2 linked regions of the Ovis aries genome follow. The protein of the gene in region 1 interacts with the protein of each later gene in a pairwise test. Links are inferred from orthologs where the notes say so. Each region holds a gene or a part of one and is shown on either strand. Other genes may lie near its edges.

Region 1 (4,173 bases):
AAACTGTGAAAAATTTTTCAAGAGATGGGAATACTGGAGCACCTGAACTGCCTCCTGAGAAATCTGTATGCAGGTCAAGAAGTAACAGTTAGAACTGGACATGGAACAACAGACTGGTTCCAAATCGGGAAAGGAGTACGTCAAGGCTGTATATTGTCACCCTACTTATTTAACTTCTATGCAGAGTACATCATGAGAAATGCTGGGCTGGAGGAAGCACAAGCTGGAATCAAGATTGCTGGAAGAAACATCAATAACCTCAGATATGCAGATGACACCACTCTTATGGCAGAAAGCAAAGAACTAAAGAGCCTCTTCATGAAAGTAAAAGAGGAAAGTGAAAAAGTTGTCTTAAAACTCAACATTCAGAAAACTAAGATCATGGCATCTGGTCCCATCTCTTCATGGCAAATAGGTGGGAAACAATGGAAACAGTGTCAGACTTTATTTTGGGGGGCTCCAAAATCACTGCAGATGGTGACTACAACCATGAAATTAAAAGCCACTTGCTCCGTGGGAGAAAAGCTATGACCAACCTAGACAGCATATTAAAAAGCAGCGATTACTTTGCCAACAAAGGTCCATCTTATCAAAGCTATGGTTTTTCCAGTAGTCATGTATGGAGGTGAGAGTTGGACCATAAAGAAAACTGAGTGCTGAAGAACTGATGCTTTTGAACTGTGGTGTTGGAGAAGACTCTTGAGCGTCCCTTGAACTGCAAGGAGATCCAACCAGTCCATCCTAAAGGAAATCAGTCCTGAATATTCATTGGAAGGACTGATGCTGAAGCTGAAACTTCAATCCTTTGGCCACCTGATGTGAAGAACTGACACAATGGAAAAGACCTTGATGCTGGGAAAGATTGAAAGTGGGAGGAGAAGGGGACGACAGAGGATGAGATTGGATGGCATCACCGACTCGATGGACATGAGTTTCAGGAAGCTCTGGGAGTTGGTGATGGACAGGGAATCCAGGCGTGCTGCAGTCCATGGGGTTGCCAAGAGCTGGACACGACTGAACAACTGAACTGAACTGAGCTGATTCATACTTTACAAGAGATGTGGTTTTTCCAGATGGCACAGTGGTAAACAATCTGTTTGCAGATGCAGGAGACAAGGGTTCGATCCCTGAGTCAGGAAGATCCCCTGAAGAAGAAAATGGCAACCAACTCCAGTATTTTTGCCTGGAAAACCCATGGACAGAGGAGCCTGGTGGGCTAGAATCCATGGGGTTGCAAAGAGTCAGACACGACTGAACACACACACACACACACACACACACACACACACACACACATTCATACTATAATCAAATCAAACTGGTGGTGGTTTGTTTGTGTTTTTTTTTTTTTTTCACCACTCCAAATTAACTGGGTTTTGCTTAGTGAAAAGAGCATCTGAGGCTCTTATTTAGAGCTTACTACGTATCTCAGCACCAGGTTGGGTGTTCACATCCATGGCCACAGTCAAACCCACAGCGACTCTATGAGGTCACTGTCATTGTCCCATTTCATAAATGGGGCAACTAAGACACAGTTAAGTGCAGGGTTGAGATGCAAGCTAACTGTCTCAACCTCCAGCTCTTAAGGCTCTGGTATTACCCAAATCGCATTTGCCTGCCCAACTGACCATACATTTTGCAAAGTGCTTTCACACACAGCAGATATCCAGACGAGATGGGGAGGGGGGAGGTTACCAGCGTTCTTTTGTGTATGTGATGAAATCCGAGGTTCAGCGCTGCTAAAGTGAAAGTGAAATCGCTCAGTCGTGCCCGACTCTTTGCGACCAGGCTCCTCCGACCGTGGAATTCTCCAGGCAAGAGTACTGGAGTGGGGTGCCGTTTCCCTCTCCAGGAGATCTTCCCAACCCAGGGATCGAACCCGGGTCTCCCGCATTGCAGGCAGACGCTTTACCATCTGAGCCACCGGGGAAGACTCAAGAAGCTGTCAAAGTTACCCGCCTCCTTCCAGTCCAGCAAGGACACATAACTCCCTCACTCCAAATCTCATTCTTATCCCAAAGTCTCAAACTCCTTTGCACGTGTATTTTAAAAGCGAGATGGCAGGGGACATCCTGCCATTCCTGCAAAGCAGCTGTGCACTTCACGGCCTCAGTGTCAACGCTGAGCGCTGACAGCGTTGACAGCTTGACCGGGGCTCCCCGGCTCCAGCTCCGAGACAGCCGAGGGCATCACAGATGCGGAGGAAGTGGGAGGTGAAACTGCTCGCAGAGCAGCCCCTTGGGACGGTGCCAGCACCGCGTCCCCCATCCCACCCCAACCTCCTCCCTCCAGGTCCTCGAGTGCTGAAACCCGAGACTCTGCGAGGTGTCAGGACGCTGTTCCCGGACCAGGCGGCGGGGCGTCCCCTGTCCGGCGAGTGCGCAGGGGAGGGCGCGCGGAGCCCCGAGCCTCGGCTGGCTCAGTCCCCGGGCGCAGCGAAACCCAGCCGCGCGCTCAAGCCGCCTTCCTCGGCCACCGGGACCCACGGGGGCGGGAACTGCGGCTCCCGGGATCTCAGCACCGTCTTCCGGGAGGACCTGGCCCGGCTCGGCGCTGGCGGGCAGCCCCAGGCCCGACAAAGACTTCAGCTCGGCACGCCACGCGCCCTGCCTCAGTTTCCCTCACCCCGCAAGAGTGCAGAAGCCCTAGATATTAACCGAGGCGCACCCCGGACCTAAACGATTTCCAGAGGACAGAGCTCACCCTCGCCGAGGAACCCTCGGCCCGACCCGCCGGGCGGCCGTGACAGCACCCCTACCTGCGCGGTGCCCCCTGCCGCCACCGGCCGGGGCGCCCTGGGGAGCCCCGCCCAGCATGCGCCCCGCCGGCTCCTCCCGATCCGCCTCCGCCTTCTCCATCTCCGCTGCGGCCAGAGGGCTCTGTGCACCCGAGGCCCGCGTCCGGGAAGCTAAAGGCCGAGCCGGACGGGAAGTGGGGAGGGGGCTGGCGAGGAAGGGGAGGCTCCTTCCTCCTCCCGGGCTGGACCGGCTGTTTCCTCTCCAGCCTCGGGGCAGGCACGCGCGCGCGCACACACACACACACACACACACACACACACACACACACACGCGGACGGCTGGGGCGGGCGGGGCGCGCAAGCCCGCAGCCTGGGTCACAGACCTCGGAGAGCTTATTTTTCACTCTCCCTCGGTGTTGGACGAAAATGAGAGGGGAAGTGCGGTGGAGAGGACGGGTGTTCGGGAAGGGAGAGACTAGGAGGCCCTCCTTGGGGGACGGGAGGGTTCCTCCCAGACACTAATTAGGGAAGTGACCACAGGGTTGATGGAAGAGCTGGACGGAGTGAGAGGGACTCTTTTCGCTAGGAGCGGGGGGCGGGGGGAGGATGAGGGGAGACTGCAGCTCACCCTGGGAAAGAGAGCGGGGCGAGTAGTTCTACATGAAATGAGGATCCAACTGTTTGAATCTTCTGGCAGCACTGGGCTGGCCCCAGATCCGCCTCCCCACGTTGGGCAGCCAGCCCAGGACACAACTGCGATCCGTGCTGAGTTCCTAAGCCAGCCCACTCGCCTCCTCTTGTATTCATGCAGGAGTCTCCTGGAGCATCTCTGAAGACGCACCTGCCAGAAATGGTTCTCGCCCTTAAGGAGCTTCCCCGGCCTCCTATGGGGAAGATAAACATGAGCGTGTAAAACTAAATCATGACGTACAGCAGAATATGCAAGAGCCAAAGTCTGTCATGAAACACTGTAGAAGTGGGAGGAGGGGCGGTAAGAGGCAGTGAAAGGTCGGAAAGGCTCCCTGGAGGAAGGGGAAGGATCGTCCTAGAACTGCAGGAGAGTCAAGGTCGTTCAAAAGATCAGGACCATGTGAGTGAAAACACCTATATATGCTTAGAAGTCGGAGTGTTGTGGGACAGAATGAATGTGAGCGTTAATATGAAGAGTGTGGGGAACCATTGGATGAGGCTGAATGTAATGACGGTCACCACCAAGCAGAGATCCGGATTCACCGCAGTTTGTGAGATTAGAACAAGCTGTTTGCTTAGCTAGTTGACAGAAATGGGAGGCAAGAGGTGACCAGCACTAAATGATGTGGAAATGCCAGAACTGCCTTGGTACACTGTAAAGGAATTATCTAAAGGCTTAGGGAGAGTGAAATATTAGCATAGACTTATCACATAAGACCCACTTACTGACTCCCAGGAGGTCCAGA
Region 2 (4,179 bases), on another chromosome or scaffold:
ATCTTCCCAGACCAGGGATCAAATCCAGGTCCCCTGCAGTGTCAAGTGGATTCCTATCTACTGCACCATCAAGGAAGTCCAGTTCATATATTTTAACAAGGGCATTTTAATTATACACGGGACTCCCGTAGTTATCTTGCTAGTCTTTCCCGCCTGTTTTTCCCTGCACCTCGTTGCAAAGCCTGCAAAGCTTTGTACAGTCTACTCCAACCGGGAACACCACTCCCACATCTCCCTCTTTCTGCAGCTCTTCTTTTAACACTCAATTTAGGTGTTATCTTTGGGATGCCTCCTTTGACCCTCCTCCCTCCCCATCCCTGCCCTAATCACATAACACGTAGCAGGTGTTCAACACTTGTCTATTACATAAATTCAGTGAGAAGGTAATGTGCCAAAAAAGACTTTTAAACCATGATCCACGGTAAAGCGAGGCAAGTAGGGCGTTTCTAAAAAGACTCTTCTTGAGAGTCTCTTGGACTGCAAGGAGATCAAACCAGTCAATCCTAAAGGAAGTCAACCCTGACTATTCACTGGAAGGACTGATGCTGAAGCTGAAGCTCCAATACTTTGGCCACCTGATGCGAAGAGTTGACTCATTGGAAAAGACCTTGATGCTGGGAAATATTGGGGGCAGGAGGAGAAGGGGGCGACAGAGGATGAGATGGTTGGATGGCATCACCGACTCAATGGATATGAGTCTGAGCAAACTCCAGGGGATGGTTTACGACAGGGAAGCCTGGAGTGCTCCTATTCACGGGGTCGCAAAGAGTCGGATACGACTGAGCGTATCTAAACAACATCAAGTTATGGGCAGCATTATCACCATCTTCTACCCCACAAAGAACCACAATGCACTGGAATGTTTTCCTCTGGAATTGCATTTCTACTCTTGTATTCAAAATTTTTTCCCACTTATGTTCAAAATTAAAAAATGACATCATTAAAAAAATAAATAAATAAACAACATCAAGGACCTCTAGGTTCCTCAGTAGGCGCTAGGACCCTGTCGGCCGACTCGTTAATCTTTACGCAGAGGGCTCCGCGCCTGTCTGGCCGGGAGCGACTGGGATCAGCTCCAGGGCGCCGCCTGCTGGGATTCTGCAGCCTCTGCAGCCCTTTCCGGGCGCCCCAGCTCCTGCCAGGTCTTGAGCCCGCCTCGCGTCTCCCATTGGCTGGCTCCTCTTCTCCCGCCCTTCCCGGGCTCAGCCACTCGGAACCCCGGCGTGGGTGGGGCTTGAGGCCTGGGATGGAGCGCGCTTCCCGATTGGCTCTGAGGAAGGCGGTGACGTGGCCCGAGAAGACCCATCTGTGCCTAACCCGAGGCTCAGCCAGAACAGCCCTGGATTAGTGGTAGGCGGGGCGTGTCCCGGTCGGAGGCCGGAAACGGAAGTGGAGGAAAGATGCAGGTGGGGGAACAGCAGCTGGGGAAATGGGGGGCTGCCCTGGGGCCCCTGGGCTGAGTTCAGCCGGTCCTTTCCTGACATGCTTCCTCAGGCTCTCTCCGGGGGCGCCCTCCCCGGCCCGTTGTGCTGGCCCCACAGGGTGGCGGTTGGGGCGATGAAGTGAGCGCGCGAGCGGCTTGTCAGCTCGCAGCACTCACGCACCTTTCCCCGCCGTGTTTCCCGCCAGGACCATCAGCACGTGCCCATCGACATCCAGACCAGCAAGCTACTCGGTAGGAGGGGCGCCCCCGCTCACCTAGCTGTCAAGGGGAGACCTGGCCCCCTGGCCCTCTGTCACCAACAGCGGACCCGCCGACCACTCGCTCTGTTCTGTGCTCCCATCTGTGGCTGGACCTGCCTCAGTAAAAGGAGCGGGAAGGAACCATGCATAGAGTCTATACTTGACCTGTGTTTTCTATTTAAACGTATATAACATGTTGTCAGTCATGTATTTTAGGGACAGAGGAGAGTTGAAGGCTTGCCTTAAAGATGATCAGCTGCCGAATGGCAGATCTGAAGTTAGAACCTAAGTCTGTCAGGTTCCAGTATTGTATTACGCTGGAAAAAAAAACTTTCTTCCTTTTTATTTTTTCCTTTGACTTTAGGAGGAAAAGGCACGTAGGTCCAGTTGAAAAGAAAACCTTTTAATGGCCAGACCATCTCCCTGCTGTCTGTATCGCGTCTATATACCACCTCTCTAGTTCAGAGCCAGGGAAGGGCCTCTTCACTCTGACCCCTCTAGGGCAGTGCACAGCTCCTGGATTTTTAAATGGTCTTTGAATTAATTGTTTTGATGCCAGTTGTGTCATTAAGATGACATCTGTTTGACTGTGTCGTCCCTTTGCTTCCACTTCTGTGACATCTACATAATTTTTGTTTTTGGAGATTTTAGTGGAGTGCAGCAATGGGGATATAACTGATAACTAGTGTGGGCTCCCAGCATTTGACCAGTTAGCAGATTTCTTAACAAGGGCAAGGTGGCCACTTAGTGGAGCGTCTTTAACTTCATTTTGGATTTGTCCCAGCTCTTCAGGACCTGTACACTCTTGATGTATATGCTTGTTATTGGTCCTGAAAAGGACTGGTAAAAACCCAACCATTTATTGAGGGTTTATTCTATACCAAGTGCTGTTTTATGGGCTTAACATTATGAAAATGAAGACCACTACAATTCATTGAGCCCTTGCCATGCGCCAGGCATGATGTTCAGTGTTCTACCGTTTGTACTCAGTATATTTATCATGCCCATTTTACATGTAGAGAAACTGAGGCACAGAGAGGTTGAGAGACTTGCCCAAGAAAGTTGGTAATTAGAACCAGGACCAGCTGACCACAAAGTCTAGGTCTTAGCTCTCTCCTATGAGGAAATGTACATAGCTCTCATCCACCTATACCCTCAACTGAAAACAGATCTGGCCCAGAATCCAGGAGATCAGTCACACTGGTATCCATGTGTGCAGGATGGTGCTTCGCTGATAAGAGTAGACCAGTGTTATTTAGTCCTTAGGGGCTTTGCAGTTGTTCATTCATCTGGTATTTGGTGTAACCGACTTGTGTTTTTCATTGTCATGGTTAATCCCAGCCCTGAGAAAGTAGAAATTGAATGGCAGTAAGAAAGATATAATTATCCATGGAAGCAAAAATATCATGGAGAATTTAGAGTGGTCCAAAGTGTCACTTTGATGTCAGGACCAATTGAAAGCTTTCCTTTATCCTGTGTTGAGGCAGTTACTTTATAAAGTCACATTGTGGATAAAGTTAGGTTGCTGGAATCTGTTTAGCCCCAAGCATCCCTTTGAGCCTGTCTTCATTCCCATCTTCCCGTGACCCCCACACCTTAACCAATATGAGTACAACTTTTAGCCAATGCCTTAGCATATTTCACTTGAATCAGTGATGCAGTTTTGGCCATGGGAATGCTATGATTTGGGTTTCTGCTATAGACTGGCTGGTAGATAGAAGGCACTGCAACCTGAAATGGCAGAGTCTAGTATTGACCATCCGAGAGAAGATCAATGCCGCCATCCAGGACATGCCAGAGAGCCAAGAGATCGCCCAGCTGCTCTCTGGATCCTGTGAGTGCTTCGGGGCTGCATTACTGGACCCCCGTCTTTCTTGGGGTGGTATAAATCTGCTGAGCTGTTCCTCTTTCTTTAGTCATAGGACTGACCTCTAAAGAAAGAGAGGCTTTTATTTGGGGTATAGAGGCTGGTTTATTTCAACACAAAATGATGAAGGGGAGAGCTGTGCCCTCTAAAGTTACTGGCATATACATGAGTCAGCCATATGCGGAGGCTGCAGTGGTGGGTTAGAGACTATTATTTCCAAAGTCTTTGTTTTTCTTTGCTTTCCAGACATTCACTACTTCCACTGCCTAAGAATTGTGGAGCTTCTCAAAGGCACTGAAGCCTCCACAAAAAATATTTTCGGCCGGTACTCTTCACAGCGAATGAAGGCAAGTATGGGTGACGGTGGTAACGCGCAGCTGGAGGCATCCAGTCCAGGGGGTCAGAGGCTGTCTGGTCTCGCTGAGGTTCCATTGGAGATGCCCCCGTGGAATATTTTCTCAGCTTTCTCTCTGTCCCCATAGTTTATGCCAAAAGTAGATCCTGAAAGTGGAAGTATCAGTCGCTCAGTTGTGTCCAACTCCTTGTGCCCCTACGCCTGGGTTTCCATTTGCTTTAGGAATCGCTTGTTGGCACCATACTCTTAAAGTGGGTGGTCCAGCCAGCATTAT

The links. The genes of interacting proteins can lie anywhere in the genome.
Region 2: the proteins of DISC1 (region 1) and CDK5RAP3 interact in a two-hybrid assay, tested with the Homo sapiens proteins (2 studies listed by BioGRID and IntAct). The link is inferred for Ovis aries from reciprocal best matches to the Homo sapiens genes DISC1 and CDK5RAP3.

What each region holds. Positions count from the first base shown.
Region 1 is NC_056078.1:3,814,009-3,818,181, reverse strand, and holds the start of DISC1 (disrupted in schizophrenia 1 protein), read right to left. Parts: upstream 2,934-4,173; 5' UTR 2,859-2,933; coding exon 2,759-2,858; intron 1-2,758. UniProt on the Homo sapiens protein: Involved in the regulation of multiple aspects of embryonic and adult neurogenesis. Required for neural progenitor proliferation in the ventrical/subventrical zone during embryonic brain development and in the adult dentate gyrus of the hippocampus.
Region 2 is NC_056064.1:38,227,377-38,231,555, reverse strand, and holds the start of CDK5RAP3 (CDK5 regulatory subunit-associated protein 3), read left to right. Parts: upstream 1-1,379; 5' UTR 1,380-1,400; coding exon 1,401-1,406; intron 1,407-1,629; coding exon 1,630-1,675; intron 1,676-2,047; exon of another isoform or gene 2,048-2,089; coding exon of another isoform or gene 2,090-2,111; intron 2,112-3,385; coding exon 3,386-3,517; intron 3,518-3,796; coding exon 3,797-3,897; intron 3,898-4,179. UniProt on the Homo sapiens protein: Substrate adapter of E3 ligase complexes mediating ufmylation, the covalent attachment of the ubiquitin-like modifier UFM1 to substrate proteins, and which is involved in various processes, such as ribosome recycling and reticulophagy (also called ER-phagy).